4 linked regions of the Solanum lycopersicum genome follow. The protein of the gene in region 2 binds, or shares a complex with, the protein of the main gene of each other region. Links are inferred from orthologs where the notes say so. Each region holds a gene or a part of one and is shown on either strand. Other genes may lie near its edges.

Region 1 (8,356 bases), on a different chromosome or scaffold from region 2:
TAAATTTGTTTGTCTTAGTTTCCTTCTTAGTTTGTTTCAAAACGAATTCCTCTTTCCTTTCTTGGCAACTTCTTGATTCGAACTTTCCACATGACATATTTAAGGACACGAAGTTGAAGGGCATTTTGGTACATTCCAAAGTCTTCTTTACTTTCTTAGGGAGTTCTTTTTTCCTTACCCATCCCCATGACACCCACCCTTTTGCTCCTTTGGTGACTCAAACCCACAATCTTAGGGTTGGAGGTGAGAGGGGCTTACCATCCATGCAACTCCTGAGTCTGCAATGGAGGGACTAACTATCAAAAAGGTATTATTAAGGTGGGTGGGCGGAGGTGGGGGTGGGGGGGTGGAGAGAGAGAGGTCATGAGAACTATCAACTTGTACAGTCCAAACCGTTTAAGTGGCTATTCTCTCAGCTCTTACTATTGGCGATTTTTATACATCTTGCTGATTATCATTCTCAATTTAGAAGGCTCTGATAACATGAGAAGAACTCAGCTTTTCAGGTTTACTATGATGTTCAGAACCTTTAAAAATGGTGTATAATGTTGATGTAAGGCTTTGCAGATCCTTGAATCCATTTTGAGTTGACCATAAAGTTATCCTTTTTACACTTGCCACTTCAGCAGCAAACTCTTTTTCTACTTTTTCTTGCAGTTATCATTAGTTAGTCCGTTTAACTATTTTCTTTCTGCTACAGTTGTGCCCTTCTTATCCACACAATCCAGAGGTTTGTCTGAATGACATGCGATCCCCTGCTGAACTTCTCGAATTCGGGCTATTTTCAAACTGCATGGAATTTGGAATGGATAGTGGGGCTCCTCTTCAAGTTGTCAACCCTGGTTTTGATTATGTGGCACCCGAGCTTGTCAGCCTTCTCATCACCGACATGTGAGGATTCTTTACCATTTTCAACTTTTTATTCGTCTTTGCAACAACGATGTCTCAATCCCGAGCTAATTTTGGCTTGCACATAACAAAGCAGCGTGGATAATACAGTTCTACATTGTATCCTCTACTAATATACGGGAATCTTTTATTTTGTTATGTTTAGTATGCACCATTCAGTATGATGAAGTTCAGTTTACTTTTCAAAGAAAAAGACTACTGCGTTTTAACTCCACCATAGTTTATAGTGCATAAAATAAACTACTAAAAAAATCGAGTCAAGGTTTTACATGCAAAAGTTTGGTGTATTTGGACTTAGATAGGCTGAAGGGAGCAACATGGACCATGAGGATTCATGTAGCCGACCCCACGTTGCTTGGGATTGAGGTTTAGTGGTTGTTGTGTTTAAGAGGGCGTGCAATGGGAATTCGTAATGTATTATTTTGCCACTTTATGAGTTAATAAGCAGTTTTATGATAATAATACTTCTTGCATCTTTCTGATTTACAGTGGAGGGCATAACCCGTCATATATGTATCGTCTCATATCGGACTACTACACAGCTGATGATTTTGATTTGCAAGGGAGGATACATAAATGAAGGTGATACTTCCTTTAAATTCTGGTTTTGACTTCGAAATAATCTTTCTGAACATTGAACATGTTTGTTGGCCATTTTTAGGAGAAAAAATTGACTGCTTCAGCAATTAAAGCTACTTTTATTATTTAACCATGGTTAAATTGCCATCCTCTGTACATAATGTCAAATAAAAATATAAGAAAATGAGGATCTTTTGATAAAGCGTCGATATACACATCAGAATCTATAGCATAGCAAGAACTATAAAGAAGGAAAGAAAAGCAAAACAAAGTTTTATCTCAATTTCAGACTACTGCACTTCCTGGCCTTGGATTAACTTGATTCAGTGCTTATATTGGGTGCGAGTAAGTTTTTACCTTCCTGAAATCAATCTTTGTTGGCGAGTTACTATGTATCTTTAGTCTATTAGACTCTTACTACGACCACACAAAAACTTTTATGATTGTTGCTTTGATCAGTTTTTTTTGTTTATGCAGAAAGTATATTGAACTCCTTACTGAATTTAAGCAATACATGCTGATTTCAGGTATCTTTTGGAGAGCTGTAGTTGACTGATGAAGAGAAGTGGCAACCAAAAAATCAAATGGAACGTGTTTGTTATCCACTTTGTTGGATAGCTATAAATGAGCTTTTTAGCATAAACACTTTCTGAACATTCTGTACTTTGTTCAGACTATGTTTTGACTTGTTTAATGTATTGTAATGTGTCAAAGGTGGTGATATTAGTTTGTTTCGTTCTTGTTATGGGTGAATGTTTAGATGAACTTTACCTCTTGAATTACATGTATCCTCTATGCATTTGTCTCTTGAATGTAAAGGTTAAACGAGTATCGCGCACACACAAATATGGACCTTTGATTCCCTTTTTTTGGTTGTGCATAACCACTCTTAAGAAGCTCATAGAGGGACCAAAAAACACCTTTCGTTTTTCACCCCTAGTCCGCGACTAAGTGGGAATTATCTGAACTTCAGAAGCAGTGTCACTATCACAGGGTTTATTAGTGAACAGCCTGCATTTCCAGGCTAAACTGTTCTTTTCTTGAGATATGAGAGAATGATGTTGATATTCATTGAAAGTAGGTGATCAAGATATGCTTGGAGAGTAATATCATGAAAACATATAACTACAAATCAACAAGCAATGCCAAAAAATAAAGTTATGGTTTTTGAGGGCATCAAAATTAGTGTCCAAACAAATATGCTATCAGGTTCCAGGTTCTACTTCTTGCTGAGATCAATCCCAGCTTTCTTGGCTACAGCATCAAGTCCATTTTTCTCAATGGTCTTTATGGCCTTTGTTGACAACCTCAGTTTCACGAATCGTTTGCCTTCCTCCCACCAAATTCTCTTGTATTGAAGGTTTACGAATTGCAACTTTTTCGTTTTGTGGTTTGAATGAGAGACCTTGTTTGCCCTGTTGGACTTCTTGCCAGTGAAGGGGCATACTCTACCTGAAAAAACAGAATGTATTCTCTTAATATTCTATACGCTACTTATCATAAAGAGGCGCCAAGATATTCGAGCACAACCGACAAAAATGCAGGAAAGCAGGGGGGGAAAGGAAAGATCATGATGATGTAAGGCAAAGGATGCTTCACTGGGAATATTTGATTACTCTTGTCCCTAATTTGTTTTATTTTACCTATTAGCTCAAAGGCTTTAAGTAGTTTTGGACTAAAAAAACAAAGGAATTCAGGATGCAGTTTGACAAATGCAGCAACTTAGAAAGGGAGTCAAAGCAAGCAAGAGTGTCAGTGATATAGTGCTCCTAATGACTCTCATAATGTGCTTTCTGATTAGTAAACTAAAGCTTCATCAGTGATCTAAAAGCCAAATACTCTGCCATTACTGGATTTCACAAAAGGTAAGTCAACCCTTTACAATTTGTTGTCATACAATGAGAACGAATTAAACCAAGCTGTTATCATCATATTCAAAATATAATGTACACCAGAGGGGCGAACACACCGAAGATTCAAGTTCTGTAGATTTTTCCTTCCAAATCTGCAGCTAACACACTCTCTCAGCCTCTCATTATTGGTTTCGTCTTCTTTTTAACTAGTTTGGTCACTTGTAATAAGGACACAGGTGGGTAAATAAATATTAAAAAATGCAGAAGGTGAATTTGAGAGGTAAATGGATTTACATATTCTTGATAGCGAGAAATCTACTTTCATAAGCTTTGAATCTCATAAAGCTTTTATTTCACTATTAGGCTGCAAGTTTCATGGAGAGAAGAATAGGCAGATGGAAATCCTGCTCATTATCAAGAGAGGTGAAAGCAAGAAAATGAAGCTCCCTTTAGGCTGCAGTCAGTTTTTAATGAGACCTAAAAGGCCTCGACAAGAATTATAATATCTTCTCATGCATATAGTATTTCTTTTGCAGCTTTGTCTATGAATTGCAGCAAAGGAATGCAAACTTTGTTAACCAAAAAACTGTTGATACCATCTATATAAGAAATTTATCATGAAATAATTTATAATTCTTCACTTGGACAATCTGTTATGCCTTAAATATCGGCAATCCTTAAGTCAGAGAACAAAGAGCCAAGGAGGAAAAATTAGGGATCATTCAGTATATGAAGACAACTATGGACAAACTTCCAAACTATATACCGTATTTTATTGATCTTGTTGTTATTAATGCAGTTAACGCGGCAGCTCCCTTTAATCAATATGCTGTAGTCCATCAAGCTCTTCCCAGTTTGTTAATTTTGCACATGGTGAGGTTGTCCTATCCCTATTTCTTGCGACTGTAGACAGACTTTTAAACCCCTGGAATGATGACACCCCTTTAATCTCTCCTCTTGAAGTTATATAAGAAGTTGTTTAGATAGTAAACTATAATATGGTTTTTAATCATTGATTATCATATGTAACTTAATAATATGTGATTAATGTCAAGTGCTCAGCTTACCATACCACAGATTTCAAGAAAACAATATATTTAGTTTGCAAATTGCAACTGAATCAAACTTTTTCCAACTTTGGCTATGTCTTCAGATCCTCCACATTGTAAGGGATAATTTTCATCCCATATCAGCAATACTAACTTTCACTTGGTACTAAACAATCTAACGTAATGTGCTATCAACACAAAGCACATATCTGAATTCTAGACACCCGACTACTAAATGGGGTCTCAGGTATGGAATGAGCAATTATCTGAGTAACACTCATGATGATTTCGGTCCTGTGACCCTTTGAGTACGGCCACTCCACACACACACAAATAAAAAGGCTACCTGCACCAAAATGATGATTCATCGTATTAACATTTGAAAGTTATCATCTTTCCTTTTTCCCCATCAATGTTCAAGAAGAACTTACTATCCCTACTTCATGGGTAGAGGGACCGAAGGTGTATACCATACAGTATCCCTTTGCATGTGATCCAATTAATTGAAATTCAGAAAGCTGAAATGTCACCTCTACCATCAATAGGTCTACAAAGTTAATATTTCCGCCCCTCGAACTCGTAACCTTCAGGTCAGCAAAGGAGCAACCTTGCAATTGCACCAAGACTCTTTTTTTATTTTAAATAATGGTAATGTCGGGGTCAGTTTGCACATACTTCAACAACCATTACCCTAAGTAACAAGTACTTAACTAAACTTCAAATTATCAGATACAATTTCCTTTTGACAATTGTGGTGTATGGCCAGTATGCGCACACCTCGACTAATTCTAAGGTTACCTACTGCCTCCCCACAAGCACAATTTCTTACACACAATTCACAATATTGTTAAAACCCAACAATTCACTGAAACAAACAAAACAACAAACAGTTCATGTGCATATTACTAGACCAAAAAAGAAACAACCCCAACAACTAAAAACACAGAGAACACAACAAAAGGGTAGAGAAATTACGAGCAACAGGTTGAAGGGCTGTCTTGAAAGGAACAGAAAGTGAAGCAGGAGAGCTCAAATGGGTGCTTGAAATCTTGATGCCACTCAATTGAGAAGTCACAAAACTCAACTCTGAGCTGAATTTCACCTTGGGTAAAGCCCTTTTGGTCACTGCAAATGTCCTGTAACCACCCACTACTGGTCCTCTGAGGCTTATACCCGCTGTGATTGTCGCCATTTTTGCAACCAATTCCTCAAAGCAAGAATCTTTTTTGTCTCAAGAATGTTGCTTTTTTTTTTGAAGAAGGAAGTGAAGAGTGGATAACGAAATGGATGTGGGTAATGATTTTATTTGTTGGCCTTCATATTTTTTTTTATTGTTATTATATATTTAACTTATTTTTTCCTTTAGTCTAATAATATCAAACGATTTAAATAAAAGAATAAATAAATAACAAAATCTAACTTATTTGGAAGTAATATGTTATCATAGTTATGCTTTAATTTTATTTGCATTACTTGTGTTATCTTAGTTTATGCTTTAATCTTATTTCCATTACTTACTCACGTGGAAGTCTAATATCACAAACCAAACAAAGAGAGTATTAAGCCTATACCAAAATCAAATCATTATTAAGCCTATACCAAAATCAAATCATTATAATATTAAGCGTTTTCTCCCTCTTCAGGTTCCACTTATGATAAACCAAACAAATAGACCAAAATCAAATCATTATAATATTGAACGTCTCTACTATCTTCAAATCAATCACACTATGTTATGAATGTCCTTATCTCTCTAACCAAACAACCCCTAAAATCTGTTATCCCATCAACTGTCCAACTGAGTCAGTGACCAACATCATTTAGAACTACAAGCACAAGACATTAAGGCAAAATAATAAGAAGGTAAATAAAAGATTTCAAGAAGCCATAAGATTGTGCTCCTGTATATTGTAAGTAGTAGGTAAACTGTTGCAACTTAAAAACAAAGTTCATAATTTTTAGATGACATAATACAATGGCTCATTCCTTCATCCCATTCTACATCTGGGAGAAAACATGTATTCCGCTTCAAATCGGGTACGACTCTCGCACTAACAAAAGGGTTAACACCAAGGCATCTCAATAATGGTAAAAATTGCAAACAAACATTCAGTTAAGCATTGTGAAATCCTATGTTAACGTCGTTCAAGTTTGGGGAGATCTGCATAAGGTTTTGAATGGGCCAAAAGAAATTAGTTTTGTTTAGCAAACTTTGTCTGATAGAGATCAAGGGGAACATACTCCACAGTCACTATTCGGTCGTCAAACAGTCGTCCATGTAGACAATGAGCAGCCGTGCATGCAGCTTCTGCTCTTCTAAACTCCACAAGTACACAGCCCGGATCAAACACTTCAGTAATAGGGATTTCTTCCTTTTTCTCAAGTTCCTCTGGAGCATCCAACTCTTCTTTCGATGAGAATTCTGGTTCAGAAGGTCTATCGTCTACATTTCCATTGTCTTCCTCTGACTTAATTGCTTCCTTAACTGGTGAGTCATTGTTTATCTCAAGATGCTCCAGTGGACTGGGATTAGCATTTTCATCTTTCCTTTCTGAAACCATACCAGTACGGGTAACCTCGAGATTTTCTTGGAAGATTGTCTCTTGAGCAGAGACACTACTGTCATCTGGTAGAGGGTCAGAGCTGTCGTCTTTTATTAGCTCCTCAGAAGGTCTATCATCCGAATGACTGCCACCAGCCAAAGCATCGTCATCCCCAGCCTTTTGAGAATCATCTTGTGAAGATTCTGATATGTGTGTTTTACTATCAGCACATCTTTCAGCTTCCTTATCACTATTGGTTTCCATGGGTTCATCACTGTTGGGGAAGTGTGGCCTACCAACTTCCAACTCATGATCATCACTGTTGGGGATGTGTGACCCACCAACTTCCAACTCATGATGATCACTGCTGGGGAAGTGTGGCCCACCAACTTCCAACTCGTGATCATCACTCCTAGTGATCGGATCATTTTTGTCACACTCTTCCCCAAAGTCCATATTGCTATCGTTCAAGGTAGAACTAGTATCCATAGCAGCAGGATCAGATATGAGAGAACATTGACTTTGCTTTACAACATTAATTGATTTAATAGCGCCAAACCTACAGATCAAAAGAAAACCTTCCAGATCAGTAAATAATTGACAAGGAGAAAAAAAAAAGAATGACATTAAGAAATGCGACTTTTCATAAATGACCTGGCACACTCCAATCTGATGTCTTCCAGTAATTCTTCAAGTTCTGCTTCAGACAAAAAACTGAGTACATTTGCATCCACCTGGACAGGACACGGTGATTAGAGGAAAGACTTTAGTAACCCCTTGGTAAGTTTTTTGCAACATCTAAGAAACATAACCCCAATAACAGAGTTTTTAACAAAGAACACCTCCAAAATATACCTCAAAGGTCAACTACATCCTTAATATATCACTGTTAGCAAGTAACATTGGTAGAGTGTATAAAAATAATGCTAAATAGAGTGTATTAGTAATGCTTGCATTAGCAATACATGTATTAGTTATGCTTGCATTAGTTATACATAGATTATTTTTATGCATTGTTTGATTTGATGCATAAAAAGATAGCATGCATTGCATAAAAAAAAAATTAAGTTACAAAGATACCCTCCACTATTATAGCAAAAAAGATGTAAAAAGGTTTTGAGGGACAATTGGGTCTTTAATCATGCTAATGCATGCATTAAAACCATTGCATTGCTAATACCTAGAAATACATGGCATTAGCAATACACACCTTAATACACAGAGTGTAACTAATGCAAGCATTAGTTATACGTAGGTTGAAAAAGAGTATCAAACAAGGTACTAGTAATACACAGGGCTAATGCATGCATTATTTTTCCTAATACACGCTACCAAACGACCCCTTAAAGTATCAAAAAGTTAACAAGTTCAGTTCAAAGGTAGTTTTCATGTCTAAAACTAACAGTGAAGCCAAGCATACACA
Region 2 (9,350 bases):
TTTTTTTGCTTCCATTATTTCCTGAACACATTGCTTTTTAGGCAAGGTCTATTCAAGATCTGGCAAAAAGAGATTTCAATAATTTGAGGCATGAAGGGGAGGATGGTGAACTGCAACCTAAGGTTGTTCGAAGAGGCCGGCCCCCAAGCAAAAATCTTAAGAAGTCTGAAGAGAGTTCTCCACCCCAAAGCAAAAACCTAAAAATGTCTATTGAGGGTTCACCTATTGATTGTATTGCTCCTGAGATTTCTTCAGGCGCCACTCTTGCTAGTGGAGAGGAAAAAGTCGGTGGATCTAATTCTTACAATCTAAGAAAGGGACCTATGCTTTATAAGTTCCGTTCTGCTGATATATCCTCCACATATCGCTCTCGTGGTGAAACTTATTCTGAATGGTTGGTTGATTGGAATGAGTTTCCAGGTTTATACCTTACATCTCTTTTTTGTTTTTCTGCAATCGCTTGTTTTTCTATTTTGTTGAGAAAAGTTGATTGTTTTGTTATGTGCAGCTTCTATTTTGAGGGCTGATATGAAGTATGGAAAGAAACATTTTTCAGTTGATGAAAACAGGCGTGACACATACCAACTATTCCATCAGTCAGCTTCTTGTAGTGAGCCATCTTTGTTGTGGAATGCTGATGACCTAAAGCGGTTAATGGCAGTATGTACTTTAAGCCTATGTTATTTTTTTTAATAACGAGAAATTCAACAGCCGGGCACAGGGTTTGAAAATCGGTGGATGATGGGCCCACCCTCTACCCTTCTCCACTTAAATACCAGGCTTTTTGTCTGTGTTAAGGTTCAAACCTGTGAGACACTCGACCTAAACATCCTATGTTGTGCTCTTACCACTAGACGAAATACCCTTGTGGCTTATGTTGCCTTTCTTTCTCGTTCTTTCTCACCTTTTTTTTTTTCTCCCTTCTCTCAACGACTGCACGGTGTTGTGGATGTTCTCACTGTTTTTTTTAATAGTTGTGCAATGCCTTTCAGGAAATACTATGCTGCTGCTGTCGAGTTTTAAAAATTATTATTTTGCATTTCCGGTACACATTATCTTCTAAGACTACCTATCAAAAAATGATAAAAACACAACCTTCTAAGATTTGACTTCAATGAAAATGGAGAAAAACAGGCCTTTCCACCTGTATGTTGCTTGTAGGTATATCTACTGTACTGCAAGATAAAGTTCGTGTTTTTAGTGCACTATATTAGATAGGCAAACATTAATTTGCTTCACTAATGATTCTGCTGTGAAGTATTAAAAGTCTCATGCTGGACCTTCTAAACACTTTTTAGGGCTGATCCCTCCCATCAATGCAATCAAAGAGTGGGAAAAATTGCAGTAATCAGTCTGGTCACTGGTGTATTGTCACTCTTTGCACATTACCTTGTCTCGCCATCCCTGAAAGAAAATAAGATGCCTTTTTTTTCTTGTGATTGTGTGTGATTATCTTTGATGCTGTCTTACGCAACCAAGACTAATCTGACTATAATGCAGGTTGGTGTTCACATTGAGCAGCATGCATACGCTAGAAGCCTTGCCAGATTTGCTGCAGATCTTGGGCCAGTTGTCTGGAAAGTAGCTTCTAAGAAGTTAGAAACTGTTTTACCTGCTGAAGTAAAGTTTGGTCCTGGATGGGTAGGAGAAGGTGGAGGATCAACATTATCGTCAACTTTTTCATCTCAGAACAAATCATCAGATTGCTTGGCAGCTGATCACCATTCTTCTAGAACCGTTATACCATCTATCCGGGGTGTAGGTTCTGCTGTCATATGCAGGCCTACTGATGGAAATGTTGAAGCTGGTAAGACATTGAACAGCCAAAATGACGATGTAGCAGAGGCTAGTGGTGATTTTTCGTGTGCAATTCCTCCATCTAACTCCCAGGCTAAGCAGAAACCTTCTGCAAACCCAAGAAATGGGTTCAATGGTATGATAGGGTATGATTTGTCTGCGCAAATGGAGGTAAAAAGGCTGTCCATGTCTAAGGGCGAACCGAACGTACAAGAGGCCGCCTCAAGGCCTGGTGGTCAAATGGTTGGAACTATTCCTAAAAGAGATGTTTCATCCTCTCATCAGTCACCTTCAAATCGTGTCTCCTCTCTGGAGAACAGTTTACGAGAAAGCTGGACTACATTGCATTCTGGGAATTTAGAGCAGAATTTGAGGCTTTCTGGAGATTCTCAACCTGCTTCTGTATCTGCAGGGCAGTATAGGGTATCTCTTCCGCATCCGCCAGACCTGAATGTCAAAGTCCAAACTTCAAGCTCCCCTAGTTCTAGTTTACGAGTTGGATCTCCGCAGCAGCCAGATTTAGCATTGCAGCTCTAACTTATTCATCGGCCCTTTCTGCATTTGAATCAGGTGAAGTAGATTATTCTTGTTAACCTAAATCATGGTAGGGGAACTAGGAAAATGGATGTACAGATTATGTATCCAATTTTTAGATTGAAACTAGGGAATTGGTATGTAACAACATTTTGAGAATTTGAACCCATGATTCAAACAGATAATTGGGTGTGGAATATAGGCAGTTGATACTGCAAGTAGGACCTCCCAAATATTTTGGCAAAAAACCAATAGGTAGCTAATCAGGGAAAATATGCTTTTTGGCTTCTTTTCAAAAAGTTGATTTTGGTCTATATATTACGACCCTACAATGCATAGCAACAAAATCGAATAAAGTATGTACTAACTCTTTAGTATCGTCAAGTTTGTTTGTATGGTGTACAATGTGGTTTATCATCGGTAGCAATTTCAAATTAATTTATAACTATAACAATTAAGAATAACAGACAAAATGCTATTAACGATTAATTCATACAAAAAAAAAAATAGTCTATAGTGATTGCTCTGTTTTGCCAAATCACAAAATAACTATTAATGGGCATCGGTCACTCGCGACATATTTGATTATCAATTAAAATATTAATGTGTTCATCGAATTGGGAGGCAAGTCTTATTATACGAGATAACATTCTTTATAACATTTTCAATACATAAATATATAAAATGGTGTGCATTGTAGTACAACATTGGTCTTAGTAATATAATTCACCATAAGAATGATTGAATATGTTTAACAATTGTCAATATGGATAAAAATGGTGTAGATTTGTTGAGTTGGTGTTATTATCAATTCTTATGTAAAAATAAATTGGTGTTCAATGTGGTGTAATGTTGCTGTTACCTTTCTCTTTTGTAATTATAATGACTTGCACTATAGTATAGTCATCTATAAAATAAATATTTTTGCGCCAAAATCATACAATTCCCTAATAATAAAACACCAATTAAACTACAATCGTTTTAAATGCCAAACTTTAGACGAGATGGTGAACTTTAAAGTTTATAGTACATGAAAAAAACACTATTTTACAAATTGATATGTTGTGAATTTTCATCAATAATTTGTCTCATACGATAAATGGTTTTGAACAGATTGATATTTTGATTCGTGAATAGAATATGTGTTTTTATGGTTATGAGAGGGAGGACACAAAACTAGATATTTTCATAGACTTCTGATAATGTAAAGTTTTTTAGCTAAGAAATCTGACAAATAAAACTTGAAGGTAGAGATTGGTTGAAACACAATATCATAATTTGAAAGAAAAAATTTCATCACTTCATAGAGTTGATAAAAGAAGAGGGAACAAAAATTAGTTCTTGGGGATGTTTTTGCCAACTATCTTGGCCGGAGCTATTCGCAAAAGATTTCCAGGCTTACCAGGAAGAGCTCCTTTGATCATTAGAATCTTAAGTTCATCATCAATCTTGACGATCTTGAGCTTTCTAATCTTTGTCCTGGTGCCTCCCATTCGTCCAGGCATCTTCTTGCCCTTGTATACACGCCCTGGGGTTGTCCCAGCACCAATTGATCCTAGTTGTCTATGACTCTTTGATCCGTGAGTCATTTGACCCCTCTTGAAATTATGCCTCTTGATACCACCTGCAAGCCAATTCCACCAGTGTCAACAATGAGAGAGCGAAAAACAAGATATGATAGATAGAACTTGCTTTCTGTAAAGACAATCAAATTTGAGATAAAAAATTACTTCTCTAGTAAGTGAATGATATATCTAGAGTCAAGACCGCCACCAATAGAGAACCAAAGAACTACCTGTACCTTGACTTAATAGTTACAATATGTCGATACATGCACCTGTATGGAAGTCTCGTCTGTATGATACTTCAAACAACTATTCAGGTTATGATAAACTTTTAAGACGTGAAAAGTTGATAAACCCTACTTCCACATTTAAACATCTGAAAATGTACACTGTGGAATCAACCAGCATAATTAAACACTATGATAGCAAGTCATGTTAACCAGAATATCAAGATATCCATTAATGAAGCTTATTTAGGTGCTGAAGCCATGCCACACGAAGAGAGGAGCTACCACGATGTTCAATTACAATGTCATTTTCAGTTGGAATTGCAGTATTTACAAACAAAAGTTGCGGTTATTGAGGAAAATCAATAGAAGCATTAATACAAACCATTTGGCCAAAAAGTTAATGTAGCTCATGTAACAGGCATTTCAAGTACTCTTACAAATAAGTAAAATATCATATTTACATCTATAGTGATACATTGTATCATAATTATACAAACAAATACATTCTGGTTTAAGGATAAATGAATTGCAATAGCATAACAAAGTGCAGTAATGCAAAACCAAAGACTTGATATTTCAGATGTATCACGCTACTAAAATCACAGGCCAGTTCTCTTTTAAACAACAACCGCGCTCCATCCCAAGCTAGCTATATGAATTTAGAATATCCATTTGAACTAGATTCATTAACAATACGAGTTCTCTATTTCACAGTTCACATATGAAAGACAATATATTCATAGCTCACTGATGATAAGAAAAAACTAATCACAACACATAAAATCAAGGTCAATTGTACACTTCATTCATGAAATTGGGATGAAATCTTCGGACCTGTTTGGATTGGCGTTTGGCATGGGATTTTTATAAAAACCAAAAGCCTTGTTATACCATTTCTAACCTATGGCTTTAGCTTATTTTTGACTTAAAAATAAGTGTTTATAAGCACTTTATAACTTTACCCAAATACTTAAAAACAATCGAAAATGAGCTCAAATCTTTGATAAACAAGGCTAAATTTAGATAACGACCCGAAAAAAGCAATCTTTAGGATAATTGGAGTGGTAGAGAAACAGACCTTGAAATCCTTTTCCAATGGTTGTACCAGCGACATCAACCAAATCACCTTCTTTAAATAATTCATTAAAATCAAGTTTCTGCGTTACTTCAAATCCATCAACAGACTGAAGACGAAACTCCTGCAAATGACGGAGAGGAATAATCCCAGATTTTTCAAGATGACCCATTTCAGGTTTAGTTAGTTTTCTATCACGAACTCGTCGATACCCAACTTGTACAGCACTATATCCATCAGTAGCTTCAGTTTTAATTTGAGTAATAATATTTCCTTCGCGAAACCCTACAACAGTAACAGGCACCACTGTTCCTGAATCTTCAAAGAAACTCATCATTCCAAGTTTGGTTGCCATTATTCCGACTCCAGCTTCAAGAGAGGCAGAGATAGCTGGAGATGTTGAAATGCGGAGAATTGAAAGGGGTTTATGTTTTGGGAGTCTGAAAGAGGGGAGAAATGGAGAGTGCAGAGTTAAGGGTGTGACTGTGGTGGAAGTGGGTAGGGTTTGTAGGCGGAGCTTGGCGGTGGGCATTGTAGAGAAAGAAGAGAGAGACATGGCTTACTGGTTCGCTGAGACAGAGAAAGAGGAAGGGGAAACGCCCTGTTATAGGATTTCCTTATCCGGTACAAGATGGGGAAAGAGGGAGATGGTTGCACAAAACTATAAGACCCCAAATATAAATTAAGGAGCGGTATCTCACGTAATTTTAATCGAATTTAATTTCAACTCATTTAAGTTTTAATCTATTTTTTAAAAAATATTTAATTTAATCATCAATTTCAATTTTTTTATATAACTTTTTATTTGCATTGACGTTTCTATACCGAAAGTATAAATTATTATTTATTTTATATTTTTTTAAAGATTTATCTATTAATTTGTAACTGTTTCTTTTTTTAAAAAAAATAATAATTTTGAGTTGAAATTTAAATTACAATTATAAAAATTAAATATTACTAAGTTGAAATTATTGAGATTAAGCAGGTCAAATTGAACAGGACCATGACCCATTCCAAATTTGAGTCCAATTCATTTGAACTCAAAGTAAACTTGGTTTGGTTAAAACTCAACCCAAATTTTATTTCAATTTATTTTATTATTTTCAGTTTCAACCTAACTCGCTCATTTGATACCTCCTAAGAGTGACAAATACTTCTACATCATTTATTAGAGGTCGAGTTCGAGTCTTCTGGATATAAATTTATCTTTATTAGGGAGCAAAATCCTTAATCAGAGGTCAAATTTGAATCTTTTAGATACGAAAATTGTCTTATTTAGATAGCAAGAATAAGATCATATAATTTTTTATGCGAAAATTATTAAACTAGTCAGAATTCCTAACATAATTATTATAAGATCTATACTTAAGAATAATTAATAAATGTAAATATGTCAATATTTTATTAACTATAAGGTATCATAATATAATTTAGTTACCTTTTTTTTTTCAAATTGAACCCACTTTTTTTTATCCTGTTACTGATGAAAAGAAAAAAAGAGATCTTATTATCGACTTTTTTCTCTCAAATTTTTTATCCATATTTTATCATGCCTCTCTCACACATTTGGAACAGGGGCGGATCTACTTAAGCTCGTGGGGTGCCACGCCATCCACGAGCTTCGGCCAAAACGCGATGTATGTATAGGTGTATATATGTACATTGTATCCCCCTTCTAGACCCCGGATTGAATCCGGATAACAACTTTTTTTTTTAAAAAAAAAAAGGAATTTAGCTTCAATAATTCATATTTTGAAGATTATATTTCTTTTTCTTTTAAATTCTAGTTGACTTAGTTTTAATTAATAATTATTGTTGACTAATTTAATTTATTAATCTTTAATTTTTTTATAATTTGTTATTTGTTTGATTGAGAAGCATTAAAAATAGCTTTAAACTATGTCACGTCAAATAAAAATATACTCTGTTAATAATTTTATTAAAATGTCCATACGATTAAACATTTATTCTAAAAATGTCTCCACTACTAATATTTTAAACCTAAAAATGTCTATGTTGTTATTTTATTATGTCAAAATACACCTTTTCTAATGAACATAATTTTTTTTATTTTCTAATAAAATTATTGTTTTTAAAGAATTCCTTTCTTGTTTTTTTTTTCTTTTGAAAACCTTTTAACTAAAAAAAATGGAAATAATAATATTTTTCTTAATCTCATTTTGTAATTTAAATAGAACAATGTCATGTACTTTGTAAATAATATCACAGTAACTTCTTCTTTAATTTTTATTTAGATATAATAAAATCCTTTTTCCTAATAAAATAAACAAATATTTCTATTTCTTAATCTTTTTAAAATTGATTAAGTAAATATTTTCCTGTAGAAATTGTAATTGTGAAAATATCACTTTATTTCATGAAGTAGATGAAAAATGAAATATAAAATAAGAGTGGTGATTAATATTAAGTGATTTATTTAGTTTGTTACAAGGGATATGTTTACAAATATAAGTAATTTAAAATATGTAAACTCGTCGAGAATTATTATAAATGAATAATATATATTTATAATATTAGTAAAATTATTTTTAAAAATAAGTTACGCTTAATAAATTTTGTGTGGAATCAAAACCTAAGGTTGATTTAATGGTCTAAGTAATGTGTCTACTTGACATTCACGAAGTTCAAATCCTGAATCGGCCTCTGATTTGGATTATGATTATACAATATCACTCAACTTATATATGTATAATTAATGCAAACATAATTGATACAAACATCACAAATACACTATATATTTTTTGCATACTACCAAACGATCCAATATTTAACATTTTTATTATATATTCTATCAAACGACCACAAAATAAGATATTATTAATACACAAAGTTAATGAGTTTATATCATAAGAGGTCATTGAACTATGAGAAATGATCTAACAAAGTCATTTAACTTTGTTTTATATATAAAAAAAAATCACTCAACTTAAGATATTTATCTACAAAAATCATCCAAGTACATTTATCATTAAAATAAATTTAATATACCAACATAAATTATTTTTATGCTATATAAATTACACGAATCATATAAATATTTTTTAAAATAAGTAAATCACTTTATCCTTGAGTAATCTGGTTCTTTGTTTCCAATCACAAATGAAAAATATATATCAATTTTGGGTATGAAATCCAAATTCATTAGAGCTCCAGACATATCACAATCACATTACAACTAGCTAGCAAGATAAATCTAATGGAACTCTATAAATCACATTAGGAAATTGGAAAGAGAAATTGCACATTATTACTTGTATTTTGTTTTTGTGTATATATTATTATTACTCGTTTACTTATATCAACATATATGAATATGGAGATTGGAGTATTAAAATCTTTTACGAGCAGTGGCTCATAGTGTAGAAACTGAAAATTGAAGCAACGTGGGTATAAATCGAATTTATATGGGGGCGATATGGTTTTAAAATATAAAAGTTCAATTTGTGAGATTCATATTTATATGACATATAAGATAATTTATTTGTCATATCGAAATCATAATAAATTAAAAAGGAAATCTTTTAAATTTTAGTTTATTGTGAAGTCCATATTTACGTGACATATAAAATAATTTTGGGGAAACTAAATAAATATCCTATAAAAATAAAATAGTTACAGACATATACCCTTTTATATTCATATCCTATTAAATAAATACACTATATATCCTAAATTAATTTCGCTTAACTGATACAAAATTAGTATCATACTTGTATTGATATCATAAGGTTGTTAACTTCGCTTAGATCATATATTGTATTAGTATTATTAAGGATTTTTTATTCTTTTTAAAAAAATTATCTAATTTCAACTAGTTTAATAAAATTATTTACTATTGTGACAATAAATTTGATAAGAAAATTGTTTGTCAACTTTTCACAAAATTTTTTTACTCAAATAGCATAACTATTTAATATAGTTTTAAAAAAGAAAAAAGAAGAAGAATTAATGATGTTTTAGCAACAAATATTGTTGTAAAAGAAATGTAAAGATAAATAAAGTGTGAAAGATATTTTTGTAAACATATATTTTTAAATAAACATTAACAAGATTTGTTATTTCTAATATATCAAACCAAAATGTGTACAAAATATACTGCTAGCATAACTTATGCAATCATTATTAATG
Region 3 (7,367 bases), on a different chromosome or scaffold from region 2:
TTGAAAGAAATTGATAAGGACTTTGTTTTTGGTTGCCTCGAACCCTGAGGCAAAATGACTCAATTTGGATAATAGTGGATAGATTGACGAAATCTGCTCACTTTATCCCCGTCAAGTCTACTTATTTAGCGGAGGATTATGCAAGAATAACATTGATGAGATAGTGAGCTTACATGGGATCCCTTTTTCCATCATATCAGATAGATATGCACAATTCACTTCTCGTTTTTGAAGGTCTTTTCAAAAAGGGTTGGGTACTCAAGTGAAGCTTAGCACAGCTTTTCATCCCCAAGCAGATGGTCAGTGGAGCGTACTATTCAAACCCTAGAAGACATGCTAAGAGCTTTTGTGATAGATATTAAAGGTAACTAGGACAATCACCTACTATTGATTGAGTTCTCCTATAAGAATAGCTACCATTCAAGCATTTCCATGACACCTTTTGAAGCACTCTATGGTAGGCAATGTAGGTTTACGGTTTGGTGGTTTGAGGTTTGTGAGTCTTCACTCCTTGGTCCCAAAATTAAATATGAAGCTTTGGAGAAGGTTCGGGTGATAAGGGATATGTTTAAAACAGCTTATAGTCGGCAAAAATCCTATGTCGACAATAGAAGAAGAGATCATGAATTCAAAGTAGGTGATATGGTGTATTTGAAGATTTAATCTATGAAAGGGGTGATGAGATTCGATAGAAAGGGAAAGTTAAGTCCCCGATATGTGGGTCCGTATTAGATTTTGCAATGGGTCAGAAAAGTTGCATATGAGTTGAAATTACCTAGTGAACTAGCTTCGGTTCATCCGGTATTTCACGTCTCCATGCTTAAGAAGTGCATTGGCGACCCCGTATCCATTCTCCCCATTGAAGGGTTAGGTGTGGATGAGAGTATCCTATGAAGAGGTTTCAGTGGAAATTCTAGATCATCAAGTCAAAAAGTTAAGGAACAAAGAGGTGGCCTCCATAAAAGTCCTATGGAGAAACCACCTTGTTGAGGAAGAAACATGGGAGTCCGAGGCCAATTTGAAGTCCCGTTATCCTCATCTTTTTCCTCAAAATTCTATCCAAAGTTGATTTTAGAAATAATTCTCTTAAAATAATAAATAAATTTGAATTTATCTTGTTTTGCTAAAATGTGCATATTTATGGTAAAGGTTCATGCTAAAATGATTTTTCATGTGAAAGTGCTCTTTTGCATAGCTTGTACTTAATTGTGTTTTGTGTATTGTTGCCCCCGTAAATTGGTATTGAGCATGATGTTTTGAAGAATAAGTGGCTTGATGATCATGTTGAGCTCATATTAATATTGAGAAGGTAGTTCCTCATGTTGTGATGTTGAGCTCTTATATGTGGTAAATTGTGATTTGAGTTGCTATAGATGACCAAGGAGCATCACGTTGGCTTTGAAGCAGCTGCATGGTACTGGCATTTTGTAGACGTGGTTCGGTTATTCCTATTTGTCAAATTCCATGTTTGTGTGTTGAATGGACTTGTGAATTACACCTTTAATTTTTAACTCATGTTGTTTATATGTTTCTGGTTGGGCTGCTAGTATTGAGTCTCCTAATTTCCCCTACAAAAGATTTTTACTGTCATTCGGGGACGAATGTTCCTAAAGGGGGATAATGTAACACTTCGAAAGTCCATGACCTAATCTAGAGATTCATATAATGAACCAACACTTCAAAAACTGTTTATTTACCTGAAATACTATATTTAAAGTATTTAGGAAGTGTTAGAGTCAAATGTCAAGAAATGACCATGACGTTCGATGATTGTGAAATATGCACTCGTGTGCCTTGGCATGTTGCATAGAGGTTTAAGAGTCGTAATTTAATGAAAGTTGGTAAAAAGGCGTTACATATATAGAAGAGAGTATTTAGGGTTGAAATGTACAGGTACGACTCCCCAAGGGCCACCCTAGGGGTCCTTGAGGAGGACCCTTCCATTTGGACCCAAAAGTTGTCAATTGACAGTGTACAACCACGAGCCAAGCGAGGAGTCGTCGTTTGATCGACGCTCCGTAGATGGCCTCATAGGTTGACACTTATTCAATTGGCCTGGATGCTCCAAAAATCAAGTCTCTGTCCCAAACAACGACCAGCAGCACGGGGCCGTTGATGGGACTACAAGGCATAGGTCGAGGAGTCGTCGACTGGGTTTGTTTTGCTGTCAAGTTTTTAAGTTGGGGATTTGATCAGTTAGTTAGTTAGTTAATTAATTAAGGGTTAGGGGGTGGTTAATTAAGTTAGTTGAAGGACTATATAATACCTAAGCCTCATTAAACTAACCTAACACCCCACAATTCCCAAACTCAAATCCTCTCCAACTTCTCTCTTCTTTCTCTCTCTATTGCAAGACCCCATTGAAGAACAATTCAAAGCTTGAGTAGGACTTAAATACTTCAAATTTTATCCATCAAACACTAAGTAATCCTAAGGTATGAAAGATCTACACTCTTGGGATCTCTTTCCCCAAAAGGCTCTTGAATTTGGGTCAAAATGATGAAATTGGATAATTTTAGTAAATTTGGAATTTTCATCCAATTGAGGGGCATAAATGATGAAAATTAGTAACGACAAGAGTAAAAATAATTTCCTTTTAAGGTAAAAGACATAGTAAATCAATAAATAAAATTGAAAAATATTTTTACCCTTTCCACTTTAAATAAAAGTGTTTTACTGTGTCAAACCCTCTCTAAATCCATCTTTAACCCGTTTATCTTTTCGGATTACCTAAAGAGTCCCTTGGATTGCAGATAAGGCATCAAAACCTCTTATAGATAGACAGAAGAGTAAGAGGGAGAGTTTTGAAAGAGAGAAAAAATGGCTTCTTTGTCAATGGGAAGTTGGGTATGTTCAGGAATAGGAAACCACAGACCATCCGCTTCGCTTTCTCTACGTACTGGTTCTTCAACAACGACTACTTCTGTTTCTTTGAAAATGGCTGCTAATGCCTCTACTCATTCTGGGTTGCTTCACTGCTCTTTTCTTCCTTCCTCTGCACTCTCTACATTATCTTCTTCAACATCCTTTTCTGGTAAGTTCCATAAATTCTCTATCTTCCTTTTCAATTTTGATGTGGAAATTGAAAATGTGAATTAGAGATTTCAGTTGTTATTTGAATTGGTAATGTGGGGTTGTTTATTGATTCCTGTTTTAGGCAGGTAGTATTTTCATTTGAATTGCTTCTTTTGAGAACTCCTTAATAGGCAATTATTCGCTTGTGTGTATCTTGAGTCCTGTTAAATTATATACACTCTTTGAAGGTACAAGGGGGAGACAAGAGTAGGTTGCAATTCTTCATTCTGATGTTTAGTATTCCATATAACACAAATTTGTAGTGTCTATTTGTGGTCTGACATTGCTGTGCTATTGAAAAAAAGTGAATCGTATTTCTGATTTTATAGTCAAAATCCATTGGTTAAAGCTAGATTATAAAACAATTGAACCAAAAAAGTTTCAACAAAGAGGAGACCTTTAAGGTCCAAAAGACATATGATCAATTTCATATTAAATTGGCATGATGAATAGTAGCGAGCTAATGGTTTAATATGTGGTGTAGGTTCATCATTTGGCATTGGCTTCAATTCCAACATTGGAGTGAGCACCACTAAAAGGCGTGGCCTGGTGGTGCAGGCAAAGAAGTATGCTCTTTGTCAGACTAAGAGGAATAGGTCGAGGAAGTCGTTGGCTCGAACACATGGTTTTCGCAAGCGTATGAGCACCACCAGTGGCAGAGCAACTATCCAGCGAAGACGTGCAAAAGGCCGATGGGATCTCTGCCCAAAGTCTTCACCTAGAACTGGAAAACGAGCTTAATGTTTATTGTTTTCTTGCAACTGATTTTTGTTGGTAATATGTTAACTATCTTTTTCAGAATTTTGGGCTGCTGTAATTTTCATCTGTTTTATTTAAAGAACTAATTTACTAGTTTCCATATTTTTGTATTGTCCACTCTTTCATTGATTGGTTTTTGCTTTCTCCTTCTGATCTTGTTCATGAGTCTGGTCAACAAATCGACCCTGAGAAATTTGTAGACTCAGCAGGTTTTCATTTGTCTGATTCATCATAGGGCTTTTTCAGAGGTCTAATGTTTTCTTTTGTTTTCCATTTGTCATTGGAGAAAGTATTATAAGAAAGTTGCTCCACCAAAGAGGGGAATATGAGACTGACATGTTGAGGTGTTTTATGGACATCGATCGAACAAGGCCCTTATGTAAGGGTGCTATATTGTTCTCACAAATCATTCTTCACATGTTGGGTGAGCTTGGATTGTAACTGCAGTTATTTGGAAATTTCAGAATTGCATTTGTGTTACTAAATTTTGCTTCGTAACTGAGGATTTTACTAGTATGCTGCAGGATCATCCGGCTGTTGGCATGTGTAAGTTGAAATACAATTTAGAAATGTGCCCCAACCGAACCAGAAACCGACCTGTCTATGGTTTTTTTCTATAAATTAGTAGCTCGGAAAAGACAATATATGTAATATTCTATTTCTCATCAATTTGGTAATGCCGGACGTAGGTATAAGAAGCATACTATCCTAATGCATGAGAAGTTTGTATGAGCGAAATATTCACTTTATTTAGTAGACTTTGGTGTTCAGATCAGATATCCAGCATTAGTGAATTTTTTTTCCCATATCAATCCTTTTTGTTCCATCAAAGGCAAATCACAATTCTTATCTTGTTTTCACTATATGAAACAAATAAAGCGTTATTTACACTTGGAAGTACTTCTATTTATAGGATTCAAACTCTGACATGACTCATGAGCTTTTAATTGCTCTAATATGCATTTCTCTAAATCAACTAAATGACTAAATCTGCAAATATCATAAGCTCACTTCTACATAGCCTTAGTATGAAAAATAAAGAAAAACGATAATGGGAGCAACATTTTTCTAACCCAATCTAATATTATATATTCGTTTTTGTTTACCACAAGTTAGAAAGTCAAAGGGTGTCTTTGATAGGAGTGAAAATGTTTCAAATGAATTTTTTCTAAAAATTGTGTTTTAACCTTTTAGGAAAATAAGTGATAACAATTTTGGGGGTGGAAGCGGAATCGTGAGAAGAGAGAGAGAAAATTACAGTGGAGAAAAGATGATGATCTTATTATGACGGGAAGCCTTCTATTTATACAACAATTTTACAAACTTAGCCAATAGAAAATGAACGACATGCTTTACACTTGGCCTTATATTATTTGGCCGATACAAAACGACAAAATACTTTAATAATAATGGCCTTTTACTTTATTTATCACTACTTTTTAGATATGGCCAAAATGCATTATTTCCTAGAAGTTTTAGGTCTAATCTAAATTCTTATTTTACTTTTTGAAAAAAAAACAAAATTAAAGAAGTAAATCTAGCTAGAGTATTTTATCAATTTTATTAAGAACTGATTATGGAGTATTATTTTTCCTATTATGACTTGTGGTTTGATGAGAAAACGTTAAAAAATAATATTTAACGTCCATTTGGATGTATTGTTAATAACATAGGTGATTCTTTTGTATTTTTAGCCTGAGAAAGAATGTAATGAAGAATTCCAAAATGTTGTTGTACAAAATGGCTAAATGGTTGTACCCCCATTAATGGTTCCACCTACATTTTGTGATGTGCAGTGAGGGAGGCAGAAGAAGCAAGAAGCAGCTCCAATGGCGTCGGGAGTGATGTTCATATTGATACCGGCAGGCTTAGGTGTTGTGAGTTGTCTCTTCATTCTATTCTACGTTTCCTTCACTTCCAATTTCTTTATCCACTCCCACCGAATCCATCTCACATTCAACTCTACCCTCAACAATTCATTTGTTGCAAATCCAACTATTCAGACACATACGCATGTGCAATTCAATGGTATGACCACCCCACTAAAATAATTTACTCTCGTTCTGGGTGTAACCTATTCTGCACTAATTTTCTACCTTTTAATTCAAAATATTTGGGGTTTGATATTATGCTTAAAGATTGTTTCCAACTTCTTCATTTGACTGGATAGATAGATGTATTATGAGCTATTTCAGTAGATTGTTGATGTATTGATTGATTTGCATCTTCAACTGCTTATAAGAAGCTAAGGAAATCAATTAGCAGAATATGAAATTACAGATAAATGGGGTTGACAGAAATGATTTCCAATAATAGAAGATGACAATGTTCTGTAACCATGCATACAAGGATATTCTCAGGACACATTGTTGGACTTAGACCCTTGATTGACATAACGTAAAAATCGAAAAGGAAAATAAAATAGAACTCCAAATGGTATGCAAGATTTCACTTCTCTCTTTGTTTTCCTTTTTCACCTCAAACTTTGAGTATGACTATACTAAGCTGAATCTTAAGTAATTACGTTATTTTTGGAACGTTAGGAAAATCTTGTGAAGCAGGAAAAATTGGGCCACTGTTTTAAGGTGCCTTCTGTCATCGGAACTGCCTGTCCTCTCATATTTTGTTCTTTTTCTGTATAATTTCAGATGAGTGCAATTATTTTCTGTAATAGATGGCACATAAAAACATAACCCCCTTGTGGGTCCTCTAAACTCACAATGTAGTTATTCATCAGCACAACTTAGGGCTCTCTTTAAGCAACTGTTAGAAACATTTAGCATCACAACTATATTCTCACTTAGATGTCTAAGGAATCCCAGTTTTGATTATTTAAGCCACCTAATATCACAATTATATTTGTTTATATGTGTATATGTAAATAAATAAAACCTTTGGCACCCAATGTCTGTTGTGAAATGTCTTCACAGGAATTCCCAGTTTGCTAGAGCCACTGTGTGGGTTAATATTTTTATACTTCCTCACACCTGAAGTGCAATCTTTTTCTCACTTTACCATGTTTAAATGTTATACAGAAACCTTTCTATCTGGGAGACATGTCTTACAAACTACTATCGCCTTGAGGGTTGCATTAGTTTTTTTTGAGTTTTCTCTGGGACTGTGCAAAGGAGACCTTTTAAGAACTTACCCGCTATTGTAGTGACTTACAGAAAAGGATAAGTAAACAAGATGACAATGTAACATTTTCTTGTTGTGTTCTGTCTTATTATGTTGATTAAGCACGGCCTGTAGATAGGTATTCCAGTCTATTTTTGTTCAGTTATCCACTGGTTGGCCTATTTATAAGTTATACTAACATGGAAAAACCAGTATATTTGACCCAGTTTACATTTGAAAAACTAAATAGATTGTAGTGTAATGCAATTGTGGAGTCCAACCATGTCCTTTTGGCCTTCTTTAAGTTGTATCTCTTTGCCATATTGATAACTACCATTTCTTTTCTTAAGATTGACGAGTAGATAGTATATTCTGAAATAATTATAATCTATGAATGCTATAGTATCTGCTGCAAT
Region 4 (6,353 bases), on a different chromosome or scaffold from region 2:
TTGCATGACAGGGGAAGTTGGTGTTCCCAGGCAACTGGTTATTGAGAAAGATTCTTCATCTATTCCAGATGCAGTAGGTAAAGCTGAGCTGAGACTACCTATTGGTACGTTTTTTCTCTTCACATTCGTCTTTAATCAACTGATCCTTGGGCAGTTGACACTTTAAAACTCAAGATCTGTACCTCTCTTGTAGCCATCAAAGTTGCAACTGTGTAACTTACATGTGACAAGCATCTGAATAATTTGAAAGTGATCTCTTTCAAACTTGAGCAGTATGTGAACAATGTAATCTGTTCATGAAATCCCTGAATTGAGCTTCTTTTATCTTCTCAGTTGCAAAGCCTTTGGCTGCCAAGTCCCATGAGTTGTCTCTAGCCTATGACAAATTCTCTCTTCAGATGCTAGAACCCCCACTTGTGCTACAGGAATTTATCAACCACGGTACGTATATTATTTGAGATATTGAACTTGTGCCTTCCATTCCATGTGCAAATGTTTATAAGTCGTCGTGTTGATGATTATGTATTTTTTGTCTTGTGGTTGTAGGAGGAATTCTGTTTAAAGTATACATTGTTGGGGAAGCAGTTAAGGTTGTTAGACGATTCAGTTTACCTGATATTAGCAAGCGTGAGCTGTCAACAAACCCTGGGGTTTTTAGATTCCCAAGAGTTTCTTGTGCTGCTGCATCTGCAGATGAAGCAGATTTAGACCCTTGTGTCGGGGGTGAGCCATCTTTTCCCTCAGTGACTACTTCCTCTTTCTCGATTCATCAAATACATCATGTTTGCTTTAGATATGTGAATGCACAAATTTATGGCATACACTAGAAGAATAAAGCAGATGAAAAATAAGAGCTTCAATAAAAAATAAAAAAATGGACCAAAGGTCCGTTTTTCTGATGAAATTATCAATAAATATCCAGTCTAGTTATTAGACCGTTTTAAACAAATGCCAGATGGCCCAAAAAAGGAAATAAAAGGACAACTTGGTTTAAATGGCAATATTGGTCTTTCCCAAACCAAGCTGCCCTTTTATTTCCTTTTTGGGCTATCTGGCATTTATTTAAAACGGGTAATGACTAGCCTGGATGTGTATTAATATTTCATGAGAAAGAAACGGGCCTTTGGTCCAAAATTTTTATTTTTATCTTTTAAAAAAATTGTTTCTATGAACCAGTCAATGATTTTAAAGCTTTTCAGAAGCTAATACTATAGATCAGCAAGAGCTAGGAAGAATGGGTCGCTGTTATTAGTGGATATGAGATTTTCTTAACAAGTATGTTTATCTTATATGACTTGTCTTAGAGTTGTTTTGAGTTTTTGTCTTGTTGACATTTCTCTAGGACCATGAGCTTCTAATTCTTTTGAATCATGGTATCACAGGAGTCTGGAATGGGTTCCTTTAACGTTGATCTTTTACCGCCAACAATAAGCTTTACAATTTTTGCTGTCTCTGCCCCAATACTAGAACATTTTTGCTATTATATTCATTCTAAATGATCGTGCTTTCTTTTCATTTCAATAATTCAAACTTTTGCAACTATGTTTTAAACTTGATGTGATGACATTTTCAAGGTGCTACTTTAAATTTTCACATTTCATACTACTATTTTGAAAACTTGCTTACTAAGAAACTCAAATAAGATGATGCTTTCAAATGTTTTACCCCTAAAACCTTGCAATGCAGAATAGGTCTTTGATTATGTGGAACAGAAAGATCATTTTCTGTTTAATAACCTTCCTCCATTCGTTTCCAGAAGTGCTTTAAATGGATCATACTTAAATGATGTTTTATGAGAGGATTACAAGAAATGATTGGTTTGGAAAGGGCCATCAGTCGTGATGGTTCTTTGGTGTATGATGCCATTTGAAGTTGTTCGCGGACAGGACACTCAATCTTGAAGTTTGAAATTTAGAAACTAAGGAGACACAAAGTGTTTGGAAATGTTTAAAGCTTCTTAGTATGTGGCAAAATGGTATTGCCTTGGAACTCTTATGTGTGTGGGATTTATTACATACTGTATTTAGTTTCATGTTGCTGGATCAGACCAGTGACATCCATCTTACCTAAGTGAATACTATTATACTCGGGATGACATATGCTGTACTGTTGCATTTAATTATGTATTATCTACGTGTAGAGACCTGAAGTAAATCTTGGATGGTTGGTCATGATTTTCTTTAACATCTTATCCTTTGCAGAGCTTCCTCCGCGGCCATTACTTGAAAAGCTTGCTAAGGAACTTCGACGTAGACTGGTATATTGCTTTCTGTTTCTCTTTCCATAAATTATGCCGTAAATGATGTTTCGTACTTGCTTTACAACTTCTGATGTAAGGTAATTTCCTAAAATATTATTGCAATGTTTGTGTAGGGTCTCCATCTCTTCAACTTGGATATAATTAGAGAGCTTGGAACCAAAGACCGATATTATGTCATAGATATTAATTACTTTCCTGGTAAGAAATCCTTCTTGTAGAATCACTCAACATCTGTGATTGAAGTAGTTTGATTGTTGTGCACCACTTTCTTGAAGAAAATATTTTTCCCTTAAATTTATGATTGCAATACTTTTTTTTTTATACCATATGGTGCAGGTTATGGGAAAATGCCAGAGTATGAGCACATATTCACTGATTTTCTCCTGAGCCTTGTGAAGCAGAAACAATGAGAAATTTGTGAAAATCTGCTCCTCGTTAACTATTACTTCAAACGGAACTGCTGGGAAGGAATCTCCTGCGCAATTTCTGTAAGCTGATCGGAGACAGTGGTGGAAAGTGCAGAAGAGCTCTCTCGATAACGGTTGCTACTTTGGAAGCTTTTGCCCCTTTTGGTACACGATTCCAATTAAGTGAGCTTGGGGTCTTTTTTGTTTCCCGTCTTTGAATAATTGATAGATTCAAGAAAAGCTTTGAGGCCTTGGTAAATGTTGTCTGGAGGGCAAATAATTGGGTTTCATACTTTGTAAATATGCCATTTACAGTAGGAACATAAAATGTACATTGTTGGCTCGTCTAATCTACTGGATAGTTTGGTTTTGATCGGAATGGTTGTTGCGACATAGTTCAAAGGATTCCGATGTTGAATGAGCGAGTATATTGCCTTAATGCAAATACAAACATAGCTACTGTTTTCTCATTCATTGTTTTTAGTACGAGACCCCTCTCCCCGATCACATTTGATATTTGCTTTACATAATATATAATTTTGCTATTTTATTATACGGAACCGATATTCGAAGGATATTGTTTATTATCTCACAAGCTACGGCATTATCCAGTGGCATTGAATAGATTAAAAAGTAAAGCGTAAAACATTCATTTCAAATCACTTATTGCGCCAAAACTGCAATTGAACAAGTTGCAAATTTCCCCAAAGTATCAGACGGAAAACACCATTATACAAAAGCCGAAATGATAAGTTACAGAAAAATTACTCAGATTTGGCGTCGGACTCTGAAGCTCCGGCGGCAGCGGGTTGACCCGATTCATCACTGGCAAAGGACCACTCCGATGGTAAGGGAGGTAACGGAGCATAAACAGCTGGTCCACGTCGAATATCCCAAGCTTGAGTCTTCCGTGGACGTGTCTTCTTATGGTGAGCTGTAGCCTTCTTCTGTGGCCTAGATGAGCACTCAATTACCAATCCCCCGATACTTGTGGGTGCCGACGCCAACCTGGTGGCTCCGCCGGTGAATCCGGTCGCTGAAACAGTTGAGGAACGCGGCAACACCGCCATCTGCAACCCGAATATGGCGGAGGCTGACATTTTCTTTTTTCTTCTCTTCAAAGGTTTTTCCTTCTTCTGGCTGTGTTTAATGGAACCTTTGAAGTGGATTGCCTTCGTTATCTTCTGGTGACTTCAGTTTCTGCTAAGGTTACGACACCGTTTGGCATTTGGGCCTTAAAGCCCTTTTGGGTTATTTGAGTGTTGGATGTAGTAGAACAACAATTGGTCTGGCCCAAATAAATCTGTGGGATCATTTACACTTTTGCTTCTATTTAGTGTTGGTCTTTAATTTATGTATAGTTTATATTTTTGTATAATAATAACTTACCATTTATGTTCATATATTAAGTCTGAAAACTAAACGTAACTTCACAATCGATAGGAGCGATGGACGGTGTGTATAAAGGGCAGAGACGGAGAAATTCTTAGTTAGAGACCCAAAGGTCATTGTGATTAAAGAATAGTTTATGAAATTTTAGTACATAAGTGAATATAATTTAGAGTCAAAAGTACACGGCCTAATTGAGTTCAAATGAGTAATAATCTTATAAGATCATGGGACACAATTCCTCAACTTGTGTCTGTATGTTTGGTAATGTTTTCAACTAGTCATAATTATTTTAATCTTTCTCTGATATTATATGATTTAATATAAAAGTTATTGTATAATATATGGAGCATAGTAGTTGTATTTTGGACATAACTATGAGAAGTGAATGTTGACTATTAGTAGGTTACATGTTTAGAGGAAATGACTTTACTTCTAAAAGGTTAAATTGTTCCTTCAATTGGTGTCAAATCGTTTCATTTTCCTTCCTTTTTCGATGATATTGAAGTAAACTTCACTTGAATGGATACTTTTATTTTTTCATTACCATAATAACACTTTTTTGTTATTAGTTGCTTATTTAGGCACAACTTGAGTTCACGTGTACCTATTACTCTTTCCTTGCTATAATATATATGTGTAAAATCACCCCACTCCAGAAGGATTAATAGTGTTTTTTATCCATCAAACGTGAACTCAATCACTTGATGTTGAAGGCGACTCAATCAATTATTACATGACAATCAAACACCGTGAAAAAGATACTTGAAAATAAGTAGGTCATACAAAATACACCTGAGTATGATTCTTACACATAAAAGAACAAACATATACGTCTCTTTGCATCTACTGTTAGCCTTGTGAGTAATATTATAGGCCAGTCTATCCCATTTGTAGTCCGTGACCTTTATTGTTCCCCCACTTATATGAATCATCAAGATTAATGGATTGACCAACTTCATCTGCACTAATCAGCCCAAAACATCCTATAGCCGAGTAAAAATGAGTTGGTTACCTCTAGCATTTTGGCAATTAGTGCTTTGTTTTATTGGAAAAAGAGTTAAATTGCATATTTTTATAACTCTGGTGTCCGATCCAGTATCATGTACCCTGATAGTCAAAGATGAAAGAAAATAGAATAGTGGTTTTATGTCGATCGGAATTTAAATCTATGATCTTATCAATTTCAAGCTAATTATGTTTTTCAGAAGATAATTTAATTAATTTTCAAAGTTAAATTAGATTATATTTATTTGATATTTTAAATTTAGATATTTAAAAACTATATGAAAATATTTTATCATAAAATGTTATTAAAAATGAATTGAACGGTAGGCCATAGCTTTGAATGTTATGCTTAAGTTTACTCTGTCTTCCTATTAAATTTACTGCCCTTATTGGTTATTAATGTGGGTATCTCAAGATTTACTCAACTTTGGCAAATTTTAACCAGTTAACTAACAATAAAAGCATATTAGTAACATGTTTTGACTAACTTCTAAATTAAATTTATTTTGAAAAGTATTTAAAAAATATTTTCGAAGAGAAGTAATTTATGTTTGATTAATAAATTTTTTAAAAGTATTTCAAGTATAATTTTACTTGGTCAAATTTTTAAAAGTATTTCGTGTATTATTTTTATAAAGTGTTTTTCTAAAAGACTATCTCCTTAGGATCACTTATTTTCTTTTAAAATTTTAGTCAAACACCAACCTTTCAAATTATTGATCTAAAAGAGTAGATTCAAACGAAGAGCAAATTTATTCTATTTCTATATTTAAGGAATGAATTTCATCATTTTTTAAATTTGGAATTGGATATTTAAAAAGAATTGAAATCGATGAATTAGGAAGTTAGAATGATTTAACAATGGCAAGATTACAGCCTACGATTATATTATTTCTTGATTAAACAATACGTAATCAAGTATTAACAATAACACAACAAACGACAAAAATAGCAATTAACAACTATAGAGTAACATAAAAAAAAATCACAAATCTTTTATATTAACATCATTAAATATTTATTGACAGCAGCAGCAACAGCTAGCTAAACTGGTGATCAATTACAATATTTTCTTGACGATTTTATAAACAATTATTTCCTCTTATATTTGACCCCTCAAACATGATTAGCTACTAACATACTTAATTGGATACCACTAATCCTTTTTGCTGACTTTTCTCCTTTAAATTAATCAAATCCGCCAAACTTAATATTATTTTTTTAAATTTAAGTCTTCTAAAAAAGTTCAAAATGATAACTATACATACAACTATAATATTGCTTCATGC

Evidence for each region.
Region 1: large ribosomal subunit protein uL3c (region 2) and large ribosomal subunit protein bL28c share a complex: the UniProt entries of both Arabidopsis thaliana proteins name them as parts of the 50S ribosomal subunit. The link is inferred for Solanum lycopersicum from reciprocal best matches to the Arabidopsis thaliana genes AT2G43030 and PRPL28.
Region 3: large ribosomal subunit protein uL3c (region 2) and large ribosomal subunit protein bL34c share a complex: the UniProt entries of both Arabidopsis thaliana proteins name them as parts of the 50S ribosomal subunit. The link is inferred for Solanum lycopersicum from reciprocal best matches to the Arabidopsis thaliana genes AT2G43030 and AT1G29070.
Region 4: large ribosomal subunit protein uL3c (region 2) and large ribosomal subunit protein cL38 share a complex: the UniProt entries of both Arabidopsis thaliana proteins name them as parts of the 50S ribosomal subunit. The link is inferred for Solanum lycopersicum from reciprocal best matches to the Arabidopsis thaliana genes AT2G43030 and PSRP6.

The regions. Positions count from the first base shown.
Region 1 is NC_090808.1:67,406,534-67,414,889, forward strand, and holds large ribosomal subunit protein bL28c, read right to left. Parts: upstream 5,732-8,356; 5' UTR 5,583-5,731; coding exon 5,366-5,582; intron 2,941-5,365; coding exon 2,708-2,940; 3' UTR 2,537-2,707; downstream 1-2,536. Other genes in the region: uncharacterized protein, read left to right, coding at 701-891, 1,399-1,489; uncharacterized protein, read right to left, coding at 6,583-7,492, 7,588-7,667.
Region 2 is NC_090805.1:36,928,208-36,937,557, reverse strand, and holds large ribosomal subunit protein uL3c, read right to left. Parts: upstream 5,966-9,350; 5' UTR 5,758-5,965; coding exon 5,205-5,757; intron 3,956-5,204; coding exon 3,666-3,955; 3' UTR 3,586-3,665; downstream 1-3,585. Other genes in the region: uncharacterized protein, read left to right, coding at 42-420, 509-660, 1,501-2,334. UniProt on the Arabidopsis thaliana protein: One of the primary rRNA binding proteins, it binds directly near the 3'-end of the 23S rRNA, where it nucleates assembly of the 50S subunit.
Region 3 is NC_090800.1:53,255,089-53,262,455, forward strand, and holds large ribosomal subunit protein bL34c, read left to right. Parts: upstream 1-2,693; 5' UTR 2,694-2,820; coding exon 2,821-3,034; intron 3,035-3,559; coding exon 3,560-3,816; 3' UTR 3,817-3,936; downstream 3,937-7,367. UniProt on the Arabidopsis thaliana protein: This protein binds directly to 23S ribosomal RNA.
Region 4 is NC_090803.1:63,900,679-63,907,031, forward strand, and holds large ribosomal subunit protein cL38, read right to left. Parts: upstream 3,768-6,353; coding exon 3,432-3,767; downstream 1-3,431. Other genes in the region: inositol-tetrakisphosphate 1-kinase 3, read left to right, coding at 12-104, 334-441, 547-723, 2,202-2,257, 2,374-2,458, 2,597-2,670.